Mus musculus: one gene and its partners. The protein of the gene in region 1 interacts with the protein of each later gene in a pairwise test. Links are inferred from orthologs where the notes say so. Each region holds a gene or a part of one and is shown in the gene's direction. Other genes may lie near its edges. The genes, in order: Nxf1, Ldoc1 and Srsf1.

Evidence for each region.
Region 2: the proteins of Nxf1 (region 1) and Ldoc1 interact in binary tests that used the Homo sapiens proteins (3 or more experiments, as listed by UniProt). The two-hybrid records come from large-scale screens. The link is inferred for Mus musculus from reciprocal best matches to the Homo sapiens genes NXF1 and LDOC1.
Region 3: the proteins of Nxf1 (region 1) and Srsf1 interact in binary tests that used the Homo sapiens proteins (3 or more experiments, as listed by UniProt). The link is inferred for Mus musculus from reciprocal best matches to the Homo sapiens genes NXF1 and SRSF1.

What each region holds. Positions count from the first base shown.
Region 1 is NC_000085.6:8,755,668-8,759,992, forward strand, and holds the start of Nxf1 (nuclear RNA export factor 1), read left to right. Parts: upstream 1-1,435; 5' UTR 1,436-1,564; coding exon 1,565-1,592; intron 1,593-4,325.
Region 2 is NC_000086.7:61,708,050-61,711,499, forward strand, and holds Ldoc1 (protein LDOC1), read left to right. Parts: upstream 1-1,561; 5' UTR 1,562-1,660; coding exon 1,661-2,116; 3' UTR 2,117-2,901; downstream 2,902-3,450. UniProt on the Homo sapiens protein: May have an important role in the development and/or progression of some cancers.
Region 3 is NC_000077.6:88,045,821-88,050,206, forward strand, and holds the start of Srsf1 (serine/arginine-rich splicing factor 1), read left to right. Parts: upstream 1-1,552; 5' UTR 1,553-2,018; coding exon 2,019-2,212; intron 2,213-2,669; coding exon 2,670-2,854; intron 2,855-3,222; coding exon 3,223-3,395; coding exon of another isoform or gene 3,396-3,449; exon of another isoform or gene 3,450-3,591; coding exon 3,592-3,786; 3' UTR 3,787-4,386. UniProt on the Homo sapiens protein: Plays a role in preventing exon skipping, ensuring the accuracy of splicing and regulating alternative splicing.

The sequences.
Region 1 (4,325 bases):
GGGGGGGGGGACTTCAGCAAAAAGCTAACCACTGCCCAATACCAGAACCAAAAGGGTTAAGTCAGTGACTCTGATGGGCCCCTACTGATAGGCAGGGTAGCTCCGGAGCTCTGTACACACAACTCCCCCCTAGAAGCGAGTAGCCAAGTACAGCAGCACTTCATAAGAGTTTTCCTTTGGACTAAGTGGGTTCATAATTGGGCGGCAACTTCCAAGACAGTACCCATAAGTTTGAGCCTGTTTTGTATCTTCAAATCAAGTCATGCTCCATGCCTACCAGCACCCCATCTGCTTCCCCCTCCCACAGCAGCATCTGGATCCAAGGCTGCAATAGTCCTAGCCACACCAGAAAAGTTTCCTAGAGCTCTTGGGTTTGACATTAAAGTTTCAGTCAACACTTGGGAGTTGGAAGCAGGTGAATTTCTTGAGTTTGTGGCCAACTTGGTCTACAAAGCAAGTTTCACAGAAACCCTGTTTCAAGAAACAAAACCCAAAACTAGCAACTTTCCCTAGCTACCTACCTAGCTGACCTGGGTCTACCAATTAGGCTTCAGTATGACAGACTGAGTGAAGTGAAGATCAAGGCTTAAGGCTCACTAGATCCCTGATTTTGTTTTGAGATGGTCTATGTAGTGTTCCCTATCTCTGAACTGGACAAAGTATTGATAGTAAGACTAAAGCTTTTTTATTTTATTTTATTATTTTATTTTTTTTGGAGGAAGGGTCTCTACATAGCTCTGGCTGTTCTAGAAATTTCTATAGAGCCAAGACTGGCCTCAAACTCAAAGATCTGCCTGCCTCTGCCTTCCAAATGCTGGGTTTAAAGACCTGCTCCACTACACCCGACTTGACTTTTTTTTTCATTAGTCAATTTAAAAGACCTTTTTTCATTAGTCAATTTAAAAACCTACGAAGGACAGGATTTCGTTTAATTCACACTTGGGTTTCACACTGGGCATGATACTGTGCTGGAGGAAGAAAAGTTCGCATTAGTTAAGGTTCCTGCTCCAGTGGGGCTTACATTCCAATTTTCTATTTCGTCATAATTCGTCGTGGAGATGAGAAAAGCTAAGAGGGCATAGGCCAGCGGCTGGCAAGGAACTGAGCTGCGACTTACTCGCTGCCGGGATCCCACCGGCGGGGACTGTGGGCCGTTACTCCCGTTCAGAGGCCAGGTCTCCATTCTTGTGTGTAGCCCTCGACCCTGCTCCTCTTGAGTTCAGTGCTAACGCAGAGGGTTTAGCTCCGGGACCGGGCCAGCGAAGAAATAGGAAGGCGGGGCCGGCCGATAGGCCATCCGGCCGGAGCTCCGGCCGTGGGCGGGCCTCGGAGGGCCTGGCCACGCCCCCGAGCGGCCGCCCTGCTTCTGCGCAGGCTCAGAGAGCGCGTTCACGTCCCGCGGCACCGCCCACATCCTGGGGACGTCGGCGGCGCGCGACGTGCTTCGCCGGATAAATGCGGTGGCGCCGGTCGTAGGAGAGATTCTGTCCTGAGCGCTAAGGCTCCTTGGCGTTTGGTGGCGTCAGGTTCTGCGCCTGAGCCCGCCCCTGTACCTGCCTGTGCCATGGCGGACGAAGGGAAGTCATACAACGGTCAGTGCGGGGCCTCGGGCCGGGAGGCGACGCGGTGGGTTGGGGTGGGCGGCCCTGGCCTAGGCCTCAGCCCGGGGGCGGGAGGCCGCGAGGAGCCCTACGTCCGTAGGTAGCGGTGGCCGCGCGGGCAGGGGGCGCGGGGCGCCGCGGGACCCAGGGGCTCCAGAGTCGCCCGGATTCAGGCGTTGGAGAACCTGTGGCTCAGGGGTGGGGTGACAAGATTCCTTTCAACTTTGAGGGTGGTTGATGCCTGTCAGTTCAGTTTGGCGGCCCGACTCTTCCTTTAAATGTGAGTCAGTAGTCGCTTGGTCGTGGGCTACCCTGGTGCCCTATTTTTCTTTTTCTTTTTGTGATACGATCAGTCTGTTCTTGTAGCTTGCTGCTTATTGTTTATCAAATTTCTAGTCGGAACACCTATCCTGACATGTTAATTCATTGTGGTGGTTAGGACACTATGACAGCTGAGGTTTGAATCTGGAGTTGGCTGTACTAAACCCGAGTGAGTTAAACTTTCAGGCCTTGTTTTCCGCCTCTTTCATGTGGGTACCTGTCTCCCAAGTTTGTGTGCATGTGCGTGTGCGTTTGTGTGCGTATGAAATAATTTCTACCAAGTGCCTAGAACACAGTAACTGGAGTGGGAATTTTCTTCCGTGAACCGTAGTTTCACTGTCTCTTAATGTATTCCTTTTTACTAGGGTTGCTTGGAGAGGATCGTTGTTTAGAGGATGCTAGATATTAGGTGGATTTCTTTGAAAGTTATACCTTTTTTGTATTTGTGTAATACTGATGATTTATCCAGGCCTGAAAAATAGCTACCCAATGAACCTTTATTTTAATTCAAATATAATTACTTGGTCTCCTTTCTCTAGCCATTCCCATTGTCAACTCTCTCCCCAAATTCATCCAACATGCAGAGCCCATTTAGTGTTAATGTGTATATATTTGTTTCTAAAGCTTACCATTTGGGATTGGATAACCATTTAGGGAATTCATCCCTAGGGAAGGCTAATTCTCCCTTACAGGGTCAGCCCTAGTATCCCAGGCTGGCCTCAGTCAGTCTCCCTGTGTCAGCTTCCCAAGTTCGGTATTGCATAGACTTTTACTTTTTTTTGGGGGGGTTGGGCTCCTAGAGTTAAACTCAAGGTCTGGCAAAAAGGAAAATAAATAGAACCAAGTGTAGTAGTGCACTGTTTAAGGTAAGAGGATCAGAGGTTCCAGGTCATTCCCTGTGTGCCAGGCCTTCTGTTCTCCCACAGAGCTATAGACAAGGAAGGATGAAAATCCCTTGTTTTTTCGAGACAGGGTTTCTCTGTGTAGCCCTGGCTGTCCTGGAACTCACTTTGTAGACCAGGCTGGCCTTGAACTCGGAAATCCGCCTGCCTCTGCCTCCCAAGTGCTGGGATTAAAGGCATGCGCCACCAGGCCCGGCTGTTATTTTTTTGAGATGGTTCACCAAGTTGTCCAGACTGACTTGAAGTTTCAAATTCTGCCTCAGCCTGGGTGGTGTGTGTGTGTGTGTGAAGGATAGGATAGGCAAGCACATTGTCAACTGGGCTATATCCTCAGCCCTCCTTTTATTTGTTTTGTCTACATATATGCAGACCACCCACTAAGAGAGACAGGTCTCAATCCTGGTCTGGCCTTGAACTCTGTAGTTCCAATCCTCTTCTTAAACAGTGTACTACCACACTTGGTTGGCTTGTTTGTTTATTAATTTATTTATTGAAACAGTGTGTCAATGAGTAGTTCTCTCTGTTCTAGAACTCAATGAGTAGACCATGCTGGCATTCAAAACTCAACAGTTCTCTGCCTGCCACTGTCTGGGAATAAAGATATGGGCCACTGTGTTTGGCTTCTTCCCCTTTTTAAGGCAGGGTTTTAGCTTATCTGGAACTCGGAATCCTCCTGCTTCAAACAATGGTTATATTGGAGAACATTCCCTACCTCCTTACTGTGGAACCTGCACCAGTCCCTGAATCAATAAGTCCCTCGAGGTGCAGGCTATTTTTGCTCAAAGAAACTAGCATTTCCCAAGTTCCGAGTGCAGGAGATGGTAGTTGTTTTTTGGGTTTTGTTTTGTTTTGTTTTGTTTTTCGAGACAGAGTTTCTCTGTGTAGCTCTGGCTGTCCTGGAACTCACTCTGTAGACCAGGCTGGCCTCGAACTCAGAAATCCGCCTGCCTCTGCCTCCCGAGTGCTGGGATTAAAGGAGTGCGCCACCACTGCCCGGCGGTAGTTGTTTTTAGGAGACTTTAAATACGTCCTATTTGTAAGAATTTTTTTATTTTTTGGGATAGAATCTCATGTAGCCCAGCATAGCTTTGATTTCTTGTGTAATTGAAGCCTCCATTTCCCAATTGCCAGGATTGCAGGTGGTGGCCATAACATCTGGTTCTGTGACCATCAACTGTACACATAAGCAAAAGAATATGCAAGTGGCAGATTTTAGGTGGTTTTCAGGAATCTGGTTATATTTTGGGGTTGCCCATACTTCCACATTTTAGTTTTCTTTGTAGGATCTGGTTTCTGGGTGGTTTTGGTTTTCTTTTTTCTTTAAATTCTAAGGTTTTTTTTGGGGGGGGGTAATTTTATACATGTACACAGTTGTAATTGTATTCACCTTTCATTACTCTTTTTTATTTTTACATATTTGTTTATTAATTTAATTAATTTATTTAATGTATAAGTGTTCTGCTGCATGTACACCTGCATGCCAGAAGGAGGCATCAGATTC
Region 2 (3,450 bases), on another chromosome or scaffold:
TTTTTAAAAGCAGACCCATTGTGTATCAGCTTGATGACCCAGAACGAAACTTAGTTATCAACAACTAATCACATTCAAACTAGGCAGACAGGCTTATTTAACAGTGCACATGGTAGTTTAACTACACAGGAACAAAGGTACTCATAAACAGGACATGATAAGAATCAAAGATAGGATGTTTACAAGTGGACACCCTGTATACATTTTATAAATCTTTTTTTGGGGGGAGGACATTCTTTTTTCTTTTTTATTAAATTTATTTATTTTTTTCACTTTACATCTCAATATCAACCCGCTCCTCTCCTCCCAGTGTCCCCTCTCCTAGGTCTTTCCTCCATTCCACCTTCTCTTCTCTTTTGAGAATAAAAATCCTCACAAAATAACATCCTCCTCCACACACACACACCCAACAAGTCAAACCCTCTCCAAATGAGGACAGACAAGCCAAACCATTTAGAGTAACTGGGTCCTCAAGCAGGCAGGCAGCAGACACAGGGACAGCCCTTGCTCCAGTTGTTGGGGAACCTCCAAGAAGACCAAGCTGCACATCTGCTACATGTGTGCAGGAAGGCCTAGGTCCAGCCTGTGCTTTCTCTTTGGTTGGTGTTTGCAAATCTTGTTAACAAAATTGCTTGTCAAAGAGAAGTCTTTTGTTGCATACTATTTATTTATTTAATGAAAGTGAGTCTACCTGTGAGTCTTTTAGACTTGGAACCCAAATGACCTCCTGCACGGTGGCCCACAGAGTCAGCGTTATTTCTCCGAGTGAGATTTAAATGAGCAAGGAAATGTGTTAACCAACCAGACACTCCTCACCCCCAGAGCTTCCAGGGACTAAACCACCGACCAAAGAGTATACATGGAGGGACCCATGGCTCCAGACGCATATGTAGCAGAGGATGGCCTTGTCAGGCATCAAAAGGAGGAGAGACCCTTGGTCCTGTGAAGGCTGGAGACCGCAGTGTAGGGAAATTCGAGGGAGGGGAGATGGGAGTGGGTGGGTGGGTGGAGGAACACCCTCATAGAAGCAGGGGGAGAGGAGGATGGGATAGGGAGTTTTGAGGGGAGGGAGGCGGGAACGGGGATACCATTTGAAATGTAAATAAAGAAATATCCAATAAAAAGTAAAAAAAGAAAAAAAAATGTGTTAAGAAAGGATCACTTTAAAGAAGCTGATGGCCACAGACCCACAAAGGAACACTGAATTAGATGAACAGGCTGCCTGCAGAAAAGTTTCAGCTGGAGCAGGCCAGCCCTGAGGGCTGAGCATCTGTTCTCCACTGTGGCAAGCTTTGCTCCCTCAGCCTTCCTACTTCCAGGTGGAAGAACTGGCGGGACCCCGCAGCGAAGCTCCTGGGTCACGCCCTGCTCCTCCTCAGCCACATCCACTCTGGCCACCAGTCCCACCCTGACCACGCCCCCACGCCATCCCGCACCCTTCCCAGCCACACCTTCCTTACCGCACTGCGCTAGCGCACAGGTTTGTAAAGTGACCCTGTGGGTGGAGTTTCTGCCGCTGGCTGGGACCCCTCCATTTATTGCCCAGGGTCCGCACTCCTCTGAGGACCCGCACTTCCTGCTCAGCCTCTCTGTGCAGCTCCGTGGAGCCGATCCGAGACTGAGACCGAGACCGAGACCGAGACCGTCCAAGCAGTTAACCATGGTGGAAGAGCTGCTGTCGCTTCTGCACGCGCTTCTGGATAGGCACCAAGCCCTGTGCATGGAGAACCACCAGCTCCTGAAGCAGCTGCGACTGTTGGTGTGTGAGCGGGCCAGGCTGCTGCGCCAGGTATGTCCACCGAGCTGTCCGGTGCCCTACCCCTCACGGTTTAGCGGCGAGAGTGGTCGGCTCCCTGAGTTTATCATGCAGACCATGTCTTACATGCTTGCGAATGAGGAGCACTTCTGCAATGATGCCATGAAAGTGGCATTCTTGATCAGCCTCCTCTCCGGGGAAGCTGAGGAGTGGGTGATGCCTTACATCGAGTCAAATAGCTACGTCCTCGGTGATTATCAGGCCTTTGTTGATGAGATGAAGCAGTATTTTGGCTGGGGTACCGACGACGAAGATGATGGTGATGATGATGAAGAGGAAGAAATGGAGGAAGATCACTAGGCCGGAGCCCCCTTAGGCCTAGAGGTGGGGGCCTTCACGCCTTTTCATTCCAACCCCCCACCCGCCATTCCTGCTGCCTCAATCTCTCCCTTTGCATGGCCATCCTCTTCCCCGCCAGTCTGTTTGCTCCATCATTCCCTTCAGGACTTGTCTTTGTTCCAGTTACCTGCTGTGAGTTGGGCCTGGACCTTGCTCTGAAACTCACTTTGGCCTCAGGCACTTATCCTAATCTGAACTCTGTTCGGAGTTCCAGCGATTTTCCAGGTCCCTATTAGAACTGGTCAGACCACCTGCATTCCTGCTGCTGACATCCACTGGAACTCAGGCCAGTCCGCCATCTGCCCAGAAGCAGATTCCTGACATTTCACCTCCACTCACCGAATTTCATCTGAAGCACTTTTCAAGATAAGGACCAAGAAGATGATGGAGTTGCTACTCCACCCATTCAGACTCTGTTTTGGACTACTCACCAAACCTTGAAGGGGCCAGCCAGTCTTTACCGACTGGTTAGTTCTGTACGTACTACCAGGTTCCACATCTGCCTGACCAGAACAGGAACCTGATGTGCCTGCCGGACAGTTAAAATGTTGACATGTCTTTTCTCCTATGCATCAGTTTTGCACAGCACGTTTCCTTTCAGAACTGCAGCAGCCTCACAGATGTGTCCATGTGGACAAGGACTACTAAAATAAAAGCAAACGGACAGGCATTCAGCCCAGATCCTCTCTAGTACTTGAAAAAAGCAATGTAATTCTTTGCAATAAATATCAAGCACTGCAAAACTAGCAGCAAACTGTTGTCTTTTCATGGTTAAGTGCTACCATTGGCTATTGTGACTCACCTCCATTATTTCATTGTGGTTGGGGAACTTGGTTCAATCCCAGTATTCTCACTTTCATTTTTGGGCTCCAGGGGGCCCTGTCATAGGGTTTTAAAAGCTGTGGTGAAGGAGCATTGTCTGGGGCTTCCAAGGTGACATATAAAGGGTGGCTGGGTAGGGGGGCTATCATCTTAAATTAGGTCACTTTGGAGAAATAAAGGGACATTATTAACATTTAGACTGACAGTAGAGGCATATTACTGGGCACAGTGAAGTTTCCTAACATGGCAGAGAAGTTTTATCCATTGTCCTTCTTTCCTGTGGGTGGCAATTAGCAAGATGCTTATGTCTCCTGAGCTAGAACCTGGACTGGAGTTTGTGAGTTGACATCTCTCAGACAGTCCAGAGGGTAGGTACTGAGAATTATCTGCCCAGCTTTGTTTGTGTGTCAGTCCATTATGTTACCCTGCTGAAATGAACTTGGTAAAGGGGTATACACGGTAACCAGGAAATA
Region 3 (4,386 bases), on another chromosome or scaffold:
GCAGTAGATCTCCCAAAATTCAACAAGTTCTTCAGGCATTTTGCCTAGAAACCTTATACATCACTTCTGCCTCTCCCCCACTCTCACTGTCCTTGATTTCTCCAGCCAGTCTTAATATTTAATGGTTTCATTTTAAGCAGCCCCACATCCTTGGACTGTTGTAAATAAATGATAACATCCAGGGGCAGCAATGACTCAGTGACTCATCTGGTTAAGGTGCTCCTCCCAAGCCTGACGTTTCATCTCGGGGGCTCACATGGCATGAGTGGTGAACTGCACCTTATTTTCTGACTTTCACACATGGGCCATGGCATGACCCACCACCCCAAGACACAATATGCATAACATAAAAATTAAAAACTAAAAATTACAGTATAAAGAATCACCCTTAGAACCTGTGGGGATCCGACTTAGCATATTTATTAGTGATAGGGTCGACACAGCTCTGGCTGGCCTTGAACCCTGAAATTCCGCTTCCCAAAAACTTCAAGAGGCATTTACCACTACGCCTGGCTGTCTCTATCCAATCATGAAAGGCTCTGGTTTTAGCTGGGAGGTAGTGACTTTGATCCCAGCACTCAGAAGGCAGGAACTCCAGGACAGCCAGGGGTACACAGAGAAATCGTGTCTCAAACAAAACAACCCCAAAACAAAAACAACACCAAGAAAACGTTTTGTTTTTCAATATTTTTAATAGAAAGGGTTTCCCTGAATGTCCCGGGCTAACCTTTCCCCCCGCCTCCCCTTTGGTTTTTCGAGACAGGGCTTCTCTGTATAGCCCTGGCTGTCCTGGAACTCACTCAGTAGACCAGGCTGGCCTCGAACTCTGAAATCCGCCTGCCTCTGCCTCCCGAGCGCTGGGATTAAAGGCATGCGCCACCACTGCCTGGCTCCGGGATAACCTTTACTAGAACTGTGTATAACAGGGTAGGCTGGACCCTCCTTGCCTCAGCTTCCGGAGTGATAGGATTTCAGGCACACAAGCTTAAGTCCAGATTGGTTTGCTTTTATTATAATTCGAGTTCATTAACAACACTACAAGGCCGTATGATTTCACACGTAAGGCTCTTCTATTCCCGTTATTACAAAACAAAGAAGCAAAATTGTGGTATCCAATGCAAGAATCCTTTTGCAGATAATCTTGGCAAAATAAACAAATAAATAAATAATCTCCCTAGACCAGCACAGAACCGGGATCTCGGCTCTGCAGTTAAACTGTTTTATCACTCTTCCTTTTTCATCCTTAGAAAGGAGGAAGAGGAAAACTCAAGGCACAGTTTTCATTTAGATAGATATGGAGGATCCGTCTAGACACTTTAACTAAGATGCAGCCCACCGCAGGTTCCCAGAGGCAGAAGCCACACTGCTCCGCTTCGGCTTTTAAATGAAATCACCTGCAACTCCCGCCGGCGGCACCGAAGTGCAGAAGATGCCCAGGTTTCCGGAGCAACAGCTCAGCGTCATCTATCTCCGCCCCGCGGCGCCTTTCCCGCCAAAGGCCGTTACCACCGCGGAGCATGGTGGGACACGCTTGCAAGATAGGTTTCACCCAATCTTTTTAGAGCGCCGAGCTGCTTTCAGAGAGGGTCTACCCCCGAGGTGGCCGACGATTCTGGACTCAGTGGGGATTAATAATAACCGCTTTAACCAGAGCATGTGATTTTTACTAAACGCCTGGACGTTCCAGCAGCCAGTCAACCCGCCAGGACGCGAGGGACTTTTTCCCCTCCGTGCGGAGGGTGACGTCGCGCGTGCGCGAGCGTGCTTCTCAGCACCCGTTAGAGGCGTGCGCCTGCGCACTGGGAGGGACGAGCCGCTTCCTCCGGCTTCTCTTCCTCCCCCTCCCCCCCGGTATCAGTGCGCCGAGCTGATAAAGGCGCCATTTTGGAGCGGCCGCGGGAGACGTGGTGCCGCTGAGGGCTCGCTCTGCCGTACGCTAGGCTTGGTAGGAAGGCCTCTTTTTTTTTTTTTCCTTCCCCCCCCCCGAGTCCGCGCTTTTCGTCGTCGCCGCCGCCGCCATGTCGGGAGGTGGTGTGATCCGTGGCCCGGCGGGGAACAACGACTGCCGCATCTACGTGGGTAACCTACCTCCGGATATCCGAACCAAGGACATCGAGGACGTGTTTTACAAATACGGCGCCATCCGCGACATCGACCTGAAGAACCGCCGCGGGGGACCGCCCTTCGCCTTCGTTGAGTTCGAGGACCCGCGGTGAGGCAGCGTGGGGCGTGCGCGGCCTTGAGGAGATAGCGTGGAGGAGTTGGGGAAGGCTCGGAGGCCTTGGAACATAATGGGGGGAGAGGAGGGGCTCCGAGGCGCTATCGCCCCTGCAGGAGTCGAGTCAGGAGAGCCGAGAGGCGGCGCGTTGTCTCCGGTGGCCGGCCGCCTCGGACGTCCCCCCTACCCCCCGAGCCCATGCGCAGCCCCCGGAGCGGGAAACCGAGGCGCTGAGGGCCGGCGAGGTGGTCGGGAGCCTCTGCCCGGCGTGGTGCTGGGTGGGGGAAGGGCCGGCCCTATTATGCGGCGCATGTGGGGCTCCGTGTGGCCCCGTGGGTGCGCATGTGCGCTGTGGCCGCGGCTTTTCACCCCCGGAGCGGGCGAACGAGCTGGGTCCGGCGGCTCCCTCCCCTCATCACCCCCCCCTTTCGCTTTCTGTGATCACACGCAGAGACGCGGAAGATGCGGTGTACGGTCGCGACGGCTACGACTACGACGGCTACCGGCTGCGGGTAGAGTTTCCCCGAAGCGGCCGCGGGACCGGCCGAGGCGGCGGCGGGGGTGGAGGCGGCGGCGCCCCGAGAGGCCGCTATGGCCCGCCGTCCAGGCGGTCCGAGAACAGAGTGGTTGTCTCTGGTGAGTTGACTTCGTGCGGGTTAAAATCTTTTTCCCGCATGACTGCTTTGAGTACTGCAAGGTTTTTGTTATTGTTGTTTTTGTTTTGTTTTACACACGGGGTCTTGGACTACTTCGGTCTTTGGGATGAATTTAGTAAATAAAGATTACTGTGGTGGTGATTTACCCAAATTAGGTTGCAGTACTAGCCTATGAAGATCCTTTACAAATAAATTTGGACTCTGGATCTGACTCTTACCAGCTCTTTACCTGGAAACACTTAAGTACAATCATTAAGTATTTTAAAATAATCCTTGTTCGAATGTACTTTACACGTTTGCCGTGGGACAGGATGAGTAGTATTAAATTAGGGGGAATCGCTTTTTCAGGACTGCCTCCGAGTGGAAGCTGGCAGGACTTAAAGGATCACATGCGTGAGGCAGGTGATGTATGTTACGCTGATGTTTACCGAGATGGCACTGGTGTCGTGGAGTTTGTACGGAAAGAAGATATGACGTATGCAGTTCGAAAACTGGATAACACTAAGTTTAGATCTCACGAGGTAGGTTATACACTTATTCTTTTTTTTGGCCAGAATTGGATACAGTTTTCTTAACAGTGGAATTTGAAGGTAAGGATACAGGCAAGGGTGTTCACGTAAATTACCAGAGCCCTGATCTGTCTTTGTATTCGTTCAGCTTGTCTGAAGACAGGTGAAAGCTTAGATCTTTCAATGGAAAGTTCTGTCTATCCAATAGGGAGAAACTGCCTACATCCGGGTTAAAGTTGATGGGCCCAGAAGTCCAAGTTATGGAAGATCTCGATCTCGAAGCCGTAGTCGTAGCAGAAGCCGTAGCAGAAGCAACAGCAGGAGTCGCAGTTACTCCCCAAGGAGAAGCAGAGGATCACCACGCTATTCTCCCCGTCATAGCAGATCTCGCTCTCGTACATAAGATGATTGGTGACACTTTTTGTAGAACCCATGTTGTATACAGTTTTCCTTTACTCAGTACAATCTTTTCATTTTTTTAATTCAAGCTGTTTTGTTCAGAATGGGCTAAAGTGTTGAATTGCATTCTTGTGTAATATCCCCTTGCTCCTAACATCTACATTCCCCTCATGTCTTTGGTAACTTGTATTTTAAGTGATGTCATAGACAGGATTGTTTAAATTTAGTTAATTTCCATGCTCTTCAGACTGTGATATTATGTAAATGTCTATTCTGCTCTGGTTTGTGTGAAATGGGATGTTGGGGGTGTTTGTGGTTATCTTACTTGGGGGAAGTTCTTATGTTTATCTTGCTTTTCATGTGTCTTTCTGTAGACATATCTGAAGAGATGGATTAAGAATGCTTTGGATTAAGGATTGTGGAGCACATTTCAATCATTTTAGGATTGTCAAAAGGAGGATTGAGGAGGATCAGATCAATAATGGAGGCAATGGTATGACTCCAAGTGCTATTGTCACAGATGAAATTGGCAGTATTGACCTTATACTAGAAGGCGAGGGTTAAAAATTTATCTACCTTAAAAGATTTGCAAACACTTAATGCA